Pelodiscus sinensis: one gene and its partner. The protein of the gene in region 1 interacts with the protein of each later gene in a pairwise test. Links are inferred from orthologs where the notes say so. Each region holds a gene or a part of one and is shown in the gene's direction. Other genes may lie near its edges.

What was found. The genes of interacting proteins can lie anywhere in the genome.
Region 2: the proteins of AKAP9 (region 1) and PKN1 interact in a two-hybrid assay, tested with the Homo sapiens proteins (2 studies listed by BioGRID). The link is inferred for Pelodiscus sinensis from reciprocal best matches to the Homo sapiens genes AKAP9 and PKN1.

What each region holds. Positions count from the first base shown.
Region 1 is NC_134712.1:214,228,797-214,232,737, reverse strand, and holds the start of AKAP9 (A-kinase anchor protein 9), read left to right. Parts: upstream 1-946; 5' UTR 947-1,122; coding exon 1,123-1,170; intron 1,171-1,213; exon of another isoform or gene 1,214-3,941. UniProt on the Homo sapiens protein: Scaffolding protein that assembles several protein kinases and phosphatases on the centrosome and Golgi apparatus. Required to maintain the integrity of the Golgi apparatus. Required for microtubule nucleation at the cis-side of the Golgi apparatus.
Region 2 is NC_134729.1:10,472,202-10,475,801, forward strand, and holds the start of PKN1 (serine/threonine-protein kinase N1), read left to right. Parts: upstream 1-1,111; 5' UTR 1,112-1,228; coding exon 1,229-1,267; intron 1,268-2,774; coding exon 2,775-3,072; intron 3,073-3,600. UniProt on the Homo sapiens protein: PKC-related serine/threonine-protein kinase involved in various processes such as regulation of the intermediate filaments of the actin cytoskeleton, cell migration, tumor cell invasion and transcription regulation.

The sequences.
Region 1 (3,941 bases):
CCACCCCGTGGTCAGCACCACCCCATGCTGAGCCTGGTCTCCAAACCAAGAGCCAGCCCGGCTCACACAGGCTGCCTCCTTTCTGCCCCCAGGCCAGCTGAGGCTCACACAACTGGGAAGCCAACTGTGGCAGAGGGAGTCAGGGCTGCCTACTCCCAGAGAGAGGGGGTTGGTGAGCATAGGAGCCAACAGAACAGCCCCCTAGTGATTCTTTACCAAACAAAACCTATTAAAACGGCTGATGCATGAAATATACATGATATGAACAGCAGACATGGAGCCTACTCTTACAAATATAGGCATCACCTTTGCATGGTACATAATGCACAAATACCTTGCCGACTTGATTGTTAGGATTTCCGGGACAAACACCGCACATGGCATATAGAAGGCGGGCGGGGGGGATAGACAATTTGCAATGTAACATGTTCCCATCATTGAATCAACTTCAGGAATAGGTAACAAGGAAACGTTCCTCTTTTTAAAGGTAACATTTGGAAAAACAATATTGCAAAAATAAATACTGTAGCAGCATTCAGTTTGCAAACACTTAGTCCGAATAAAAAATGTACTTTACATTTTTAAAATGACAATAGGCATCCCCCAGCGCCAGTGTGTTGGGGGAAGGGCAGTGTGTCATAGGGAGCGGGTTCGCATTCCTCTCCCAGGCGAGTGAGTGGGGAGGGGAAGGTGTCCGTGTCTCTTAGAGGAGAGGGGGGAGATCGGCCCCCGTCAGTGGGCGCGAGGGTCGGGGTCCCGGCCTGTCAGTGCCTGGGGAGGGGGCAGGCGTCTCGGGGGTGGATGCCTGCAGATGGGGGGCGGGGCATGGGGGGTCCCTGGGAGGGCAGGAGTCTCGAAGGGGGCGGTCAGGAGCGTCACGCCCCCCTGTCCTGCCACGGCTCCCGTTATCAGGGCGGCCCGAAGGGGGGCGGGGCTCTCGGCCGCACCTGCCAGGAGCAGCGGGGCTGGGCGGGGAGGCGGCGGCGGCGACGCGGACGTCACTTTCCCCGGCCGCGCGTGGTTACGTGGAGCTGAAGATGGCGGCGCCGGTGGGTCCGCCACGGAGGCTCCTGGCGCTGTAGCGGGGCGGGCCGGTGACGCTCTGTTCTCTGCGCAGGGGCCATGGAGGACGAGGAGCGGCGGAAGAAACTGGAGGCCGGGAAAGCCAAGGTAGGCGCGGGGGCTGTGGCGGCCGGGGGAGGGAGAGGGGCGCGGTGGGGAGTAGGGGCGCTGAGGGGCGGGACGGAGCTGTGGGGGAGGGGAGGGGCCCCTGGGCGAAGCCAGTCTCCCAAGTAGCCTGGAGGGAGCACACCCCGAGGAGCAGGGGTGACTCTTTCACCAGTTTTATTCCCACCTGTATCTAGTGTGTTTCCCTGCTAACGAGCGCGCGGGCAGCCTGGGGGTATTTGCGGGGGCTGGGCTATGTTTGATAGCAGTGGGCTCCAGAGCAGGTTCTCTTTTACTCTCCCTGTGTGATTGGCTTGTGACAGCTGTGAGTGGACAGCGCATGTCTTGCAAGTGCCACAAGTGCCAGCAGTTACACATTGAAAGCCAATGGTATTTCTCCCGAGTGAAACTCTGTACGTGTGTTGGTGTCGTTTGTGAATCTGTATAGCTTCAGTGGTCGGGGTGAAATACTTCTTCAGTTCCCCAAAAAGGTATTTGGGGATGAGGGAAACGAAGTTTACAACATACAGTTAACCTGATGCACAATTTGCTACTTGGGATTTTAAAGCAATGTACAAATTCATGGAAATAACTTTTTTTCATTTTAAGAACATCATGTTGTGTCTAATACTAGAAAATAACATTACAATGCAGTGTGTCTAATGCTTATTTCCCAAATTGTTCCCATAATCAGATGGTGGTGTAGAATGTGCAGGACTCAGGGCAGAGCCTTGGGGATGTGGCGGGAGGTCGTGCAGGAAGGAGTGAGAGAAGGCAATGCAAGAGTGAGGGTTGGGGGTTCAAGAGAGGCTTAGGGCAGGATGGGGCCTCTTATCTTTCACCCTTTCATCACCTCTGGATGCCCATCCCCTTGCCGGGCGGGGGAAGTATCTTTTCTCTGCCTCTCCTTTCTTCTCCCTTTGATTGTTTCCTGTGGCTTTGTTTAGTTCTGTCCTTTCCTTGACTTCACTTGAAGGGTTAATGTAACCTACACCACCTTCTAGTCCTCTATGGGTGAAAACTAAAGGAGCCCTTCTGTAGGTGCTTACTTAAAGACTTGATATCTTACATCCCTTAAACATTCCTCTGAATTTTACATGCTGTAGCTATATAAATAGTTGTAAACTAAGTGCTGAGGTGTGTTAGAGGATTTTTAGTTGCTTTTCTTGTTACTTATGACTGTCTTCAGACATGAAGGTTGCAGTGTAATTGTATAGTAACCTTTTTGCTATATATTTGCTCATCAGCCTTCAGTACTGTAGGTGAATTACACTGTTTAAATGCTCTGAACACACAACTACTTTAAGTGATAAATGTCTAAAGTTTCATAGATGCTTCTGTGAGTGTGAAGTTCTGTAAAACTCTTTATCTTACAATAATGAAACTACCTCTCAGAACTGGCTTACACTGGGCATTTAGGTCGAATTTAGCTGCATAAGGCTGATTTTTTTTTAAACAGTGAGTTCATACTACCAAGCCCATTCCATCAACTTTAAGGGATGCTAAAGTCTATTTTGATACTCCTGCTTTTCATGAGGAATAACGCTAAATTCAACCTTGCACGATCAACTTTACGGTACAGTAGACACAGAGTTGCAAAAATCAATGTTCTTGGCTTCTGGTAGACATCCCACAGTGCCTCACTGTGACCACACTGGCCAGAACTTGTGGCTAGACTGCTTTCCAGGTGAACAGGAGAATCCCCAGGAAACTTTGAATTTATTTCCTGTGTGGACAGCATGGCGAGCACATCTCAGAGCAGGCAGTATACCTGGCCATGACTTCCATGAGTTCTAGTTCCAGGAGCTCCTATTCCCAGGGGCTCAGACGAGCACCAGCATGAAGTGTGAAGGAGATCTTGGACCTCATCAGCATGTAGGAAGAGGAATCTGTTCTCATGAAGCTGTAAACCAGTAAACGAAATGCAGATATATATGTGAGGATCACAAAGTCCAATGAGGAGAAAGTATACACCAGGGATGCCCAGCAGTGTCGTGTGAAAATAAAGGAGTTGAAGCAATCCTACCAAAAAGACAAAGGAGGCAAATGGATAGTCTGGAGCATTGCTGTAAACATGCCACTTCTACAAGCTGTTGCATTTGATCATAAGTCTAGCTTCCCAAGCCAGACTGTGGAATCCTCCCAAGACACTAATCAGGGTGGCATTGTGGAGGAGGAGGGTCAGCAGGCAAGTGGCAATAGCCAAGAACTTTTTATAACCTTGGAGACAATCCCTTCCTCTCATGGTGCCTCAGTTGGGTACTGATCCCAGGAAAGGCACTTCTGGTGAGTTCACAATTTTTTCCTTCCTACAAGTAGATTCATGCAGTTGAGTGTGATGTGTAGGCATAGAGTGCGCCACGCAATGCAAGAGCCTGGAACAGAGCCCGGAACAGCTTGTTAATGTGTCTTGGAGACAGCACAATGGAATCCTCCTTGCAAATCTCCATGAAACTCTCATAGAAGTACTCTTTGATCCTTCTCACAAGGTTTCTGGGGAGGCCTGCCTTATTCAATACTACACGGTGGGCACCTTTACACACCAAGCCAGCAGTAAATTGTCTGGCATTGCCAGCACAAAGAGTGGGGAAATATGTTACTGGAGGAGATGCGAGTGGAGTGTCAGGAAAGGAGAGCATGCAGGGAACTATAACTGAAGCACCAGAAGACTGCTTGTCCTCCCTGACATCTGTAATGGACTGCATCTAGGCTTTCCAAGATGCGTACATGGACAGGCTCTCCTGCCCCATCTCTTCAAGACCAACTTTCCCTCC
Region 2 (3,600 bases), on another chromosome or scaffold:
AGGGGTGGGGTGGGCAGCTCAAGAGGGGTTCCCCAGAGGGACACCAGGGGGCGCTGTGCTGCAGGGGTGGGGTGGGCAGCTCAAGAGGGGTTCCCCAGAGGGACACCAGGGGGTGCTGTGCTGCAGGGGGGGTTGGGCAGCTCAAGGGGGGTTCCCAGAGGGACCCCAGGGGGCGCTGTGCTGCAGGGGTGTGTTGGGCAGCTCAAGGGGGGTTCCCCAGAGGGACACCAGGGGGCGCTGTGCTGCAGGGGTGTGTTGGGCAGCTCAAGGGGGGTTCCCCAGAGGGACACCAGGGGGCGCTGTGCTGCTGGGAGTGGTGGGAGGGGCTCAGGTCACCCAGCGGCTCTGGGAATGGAACCCGGGTGTCCTGCCTTCCAGCTCAGTGCCCATTGCTGAGCCCGCCCCTTGTTTACTGGGGCCTGTCAGAAGCTCCGGGGTGGGGACTGGGCAGCACGTTACCCAATCTGACCCCTCCCCACACTCAGCACCCCCCAGAACTCTGGTAGCAGGAGGGAGCAGGGTGGTCGCACAGGGGAGGATGCTGCCCCTCCCACACCGTGCGGGCGCCGGCCCTGCTCCGGGTCAATGGCAGGAGAAAGCTGCCTGCCCCGGGGCAGCTCAGGGCTGGTGAGTCTCGAGTACTGAGTTGATCAGGGTGAAGAGAGAGTGCCCCCCACCAGCCTCTGGGGATCCCTCACCTGGTGCTGAGATGCAGCCACCTCTGGGGTGGGGCGCAGGGGCTGTTCAGCAGACATCCATGTATGAACGTCCCAGTTTTGGGGCCTGGAGGCTCTGCCCTGGGGTGTTTTTAGGGGGAGCTTGGCCCCTGTCAGGGGGCCCAGTGTGCAGCATTTGGGGGCAGCAGCGCCAGGGCGTGTGGTTTGGGATGACTCAAGAGATGGTCTGGGAAGCTTCTGGGGGGTGGGGGTGTATGGTCCCTGGAGATTGGAGCACAGGGGGTCTCCCTGGGGGCATGTGCGAGTCAGTCCCAAGCTCAGCCTGGCTCTGGGGGGCTCTCACTCCCGTTAACCCCTTGGGCCCAGGCCGGGCGGGGGCGGGTCCAGCAGCGCTCGGGTGGCGGGAGGCAGTGCTGTGAGGTGCAGGAAGGGGAAGTGGTTTTGTGATATGGTGGGGGGGGCTAGACTCCGAACAACAGGAGGGGGGTGTCGCCCAGCTCAGACCCAAGGACGGACGGGGCCTGGCCTGGCCTGGATCCCCCCGGGCCAGGATGTCGGAGTCAGACTCCTGCTCTGAGCAAGATCTGGAGGTACCTGGCTGGGTGGGGGCCCCACGGGGATGTGAATTGCCCCAGCCCGCTGCTCTGGCACAGTGGAGACAGGGACGGTGGCCCAGCCATGGCAAAGGGCCGGTGGGGTTGGGGGGGGACTCACAGGGAGGGCTGGTGCTGCCTGCAGAGACTGGGGGGCGCAGGGGAATCAGCTGGTCCTAGAGCTCTGCATGGCAGGGCGCTGGGCGGGCCTGAGAACCGGGGTGGGGCTGGTGCACCATGCAGGGGGCAGAGTACGTTTCCTTCCCCGCCATGGCTGCTGCTGCGCCAGCTGCCTGCAAGCTGCCGAGGGGGAGGGGCAGAGAGGAAGGGACGGTTCAACTCCCATCTAGGCCCCCCTGACATCTTCTAGCCAGCCCCCCTCCCCCGAGCCAGGGCGGCTCCCCGGGGTGACGTTAACCAAGGCGCCTCGTCCCGGGGGTGCGGGCGGTGGAAATCTGCCAGGCCTGCAAGGGGAGCCGGGAGCTCATGGGGCTCCCTGGGAACATCCTGGAGGCAGATTTCCAGCCCCCGGACTCCTCCCCAGAGATCCTGGCCCAGCCCGGAGTGTGGGGATGCTGGTGCTGTCCTCATTCAGTAGGGCCCCCGTTGGGATCACCCCGCCCCAGTGCCCCGTCATGGTGCCAGAGGCTGCTCCGAGCCCGACAGGCATCGCCCTGCTCCCATTGGGCCAGGCACTGCCAACCCGACTGGGATTCCCCCTCCTCCTCCCTGGGGAAGAGACCCGGGTTGGTCTCCCAGTTCCCGGATGGGGGAGCCGAGGCCCAGGGCTGCTGTGGCTGGATCTCGTGCCCGCTGGGCTCTAGGATGAGTGGCCAAGCATGCCCCAGCTGGGGCACTTCGGGGCTGAGCGCTGGGAGTGCAGCCTGTCTGTAGAGGAGCCAGTCAGCCCCAAGCTCCCTGCCCTCCGTGAGCTCGGCAGCCCATGAGGGTCTGACCAGGGACAGATGCACCCAGATCAGCCCCGAACTACCAGCCCTGCCTGCTGGGCACAGAGGGCCAGCCCCTTGCGCCCTTCCGGTGTGCCAGCTGCATTCCCTTGATGTGGTGGCTGCATCACGTTCGCTCCTCCGGCTGAGCCCTGTCCGGGAACCCCTAGCCCCTTTCCCAGCCAGGGCAGGGGGCTAGGATGGGGGAGTCCATCCGCATGGGGGGAAGTGAGGGGTCAGTGCGCCAGCAGAGGCATGGTTCAGGAGAGGCAGGTGGGGGGCCAGGGAAGGAGCTGTAGGGGCAGTTGTAAAGGTGGCTGTCAAGGGGCTGTTGGGGGGCAGCTATAGAGGGGGGTGGCAGAGAGGGACTATTGGGGAGCACCAAGGGGGCTGGCAGGAGGCCTCTGAGGATGTGGGTGGCAGGGAGGAGGCCAGCAGGGGGTAGCCGAGGAGGAGGGCACGAGGGGGCAGCTGAGGAGGAGGCCGGAGGGGGGCAGCGGAGGAGGCGGGCAGGGCTGGGCGCTGCAGGGCCCCCTCACCTGCTCTCTCCCCTGCAGGGCGAGCAGGTCTGGTCGGTGCTGGAGCAGCTGGCCTTGGAGCCCAGCCCCGACCTGGCGGCCAGCAGCGTGCAGCAGCGGCTGGACGAGGAGAAGGAGCGGATCCGGCGCGAGATCCGCAAGGAGCTGAAGATTAAGGAGGGGGCGGAGAACCTGCGCCGGGCCACCACCGACCGTCGCAACCTGGCCAGCGTGGAGAGCCTGCTGCGCGGCTCCGACCGCAAACTGCACCAGCTGCACTGCCAGCTGCAGCACCTGGACGCCCACATCATGGTCAAGGAGCCGGAGGAGAGTGGAGGTCAGGGGGCGGGAGACGGGGGGCGGTGCTGGGCGGGCAGGGAGCAGGGTTCACTGCTGGCGGACCCCAGCGGGGTCACACGGGGCAAGGAGGGGGGTCCATGCCAGTGGACCCAGCCCGGCGGCTCAGGGCTCCGTGCGCTAGGGGGTCTTGAGATGCTGCTAGCTCAGGGCTGTCCGTCCTGGAGGACAGAGGTGCCTGGGGCTGGGACAGACAGACTCCCAGAGGGGTGCCTGGGGCGGGGCACTGCTCTTCCTCCTGTGCTGCAATGCAAGAAGCAGAAAGGGAGCCACAAGGCAGCAGGTGCTAAATAGCACCCAGACGAGTCTCCATCAGCCCTGGCAGCAGTAACCAGCGGAACTCCTCGCCACTAGGTCTTGGTGAGGCCAAGAGTTAGGCAGAATTCAAACAGGCGGCGGGTGGGGGAAGGGGGGTTGTCTGGGGTCTGGGGTGGGAAAGGAGGCTCTGAACACCCACAGAGTGGGCAAGGAGCCCCCACTCTGGGTTCTGGGGTCAGAGTGTCAGTGC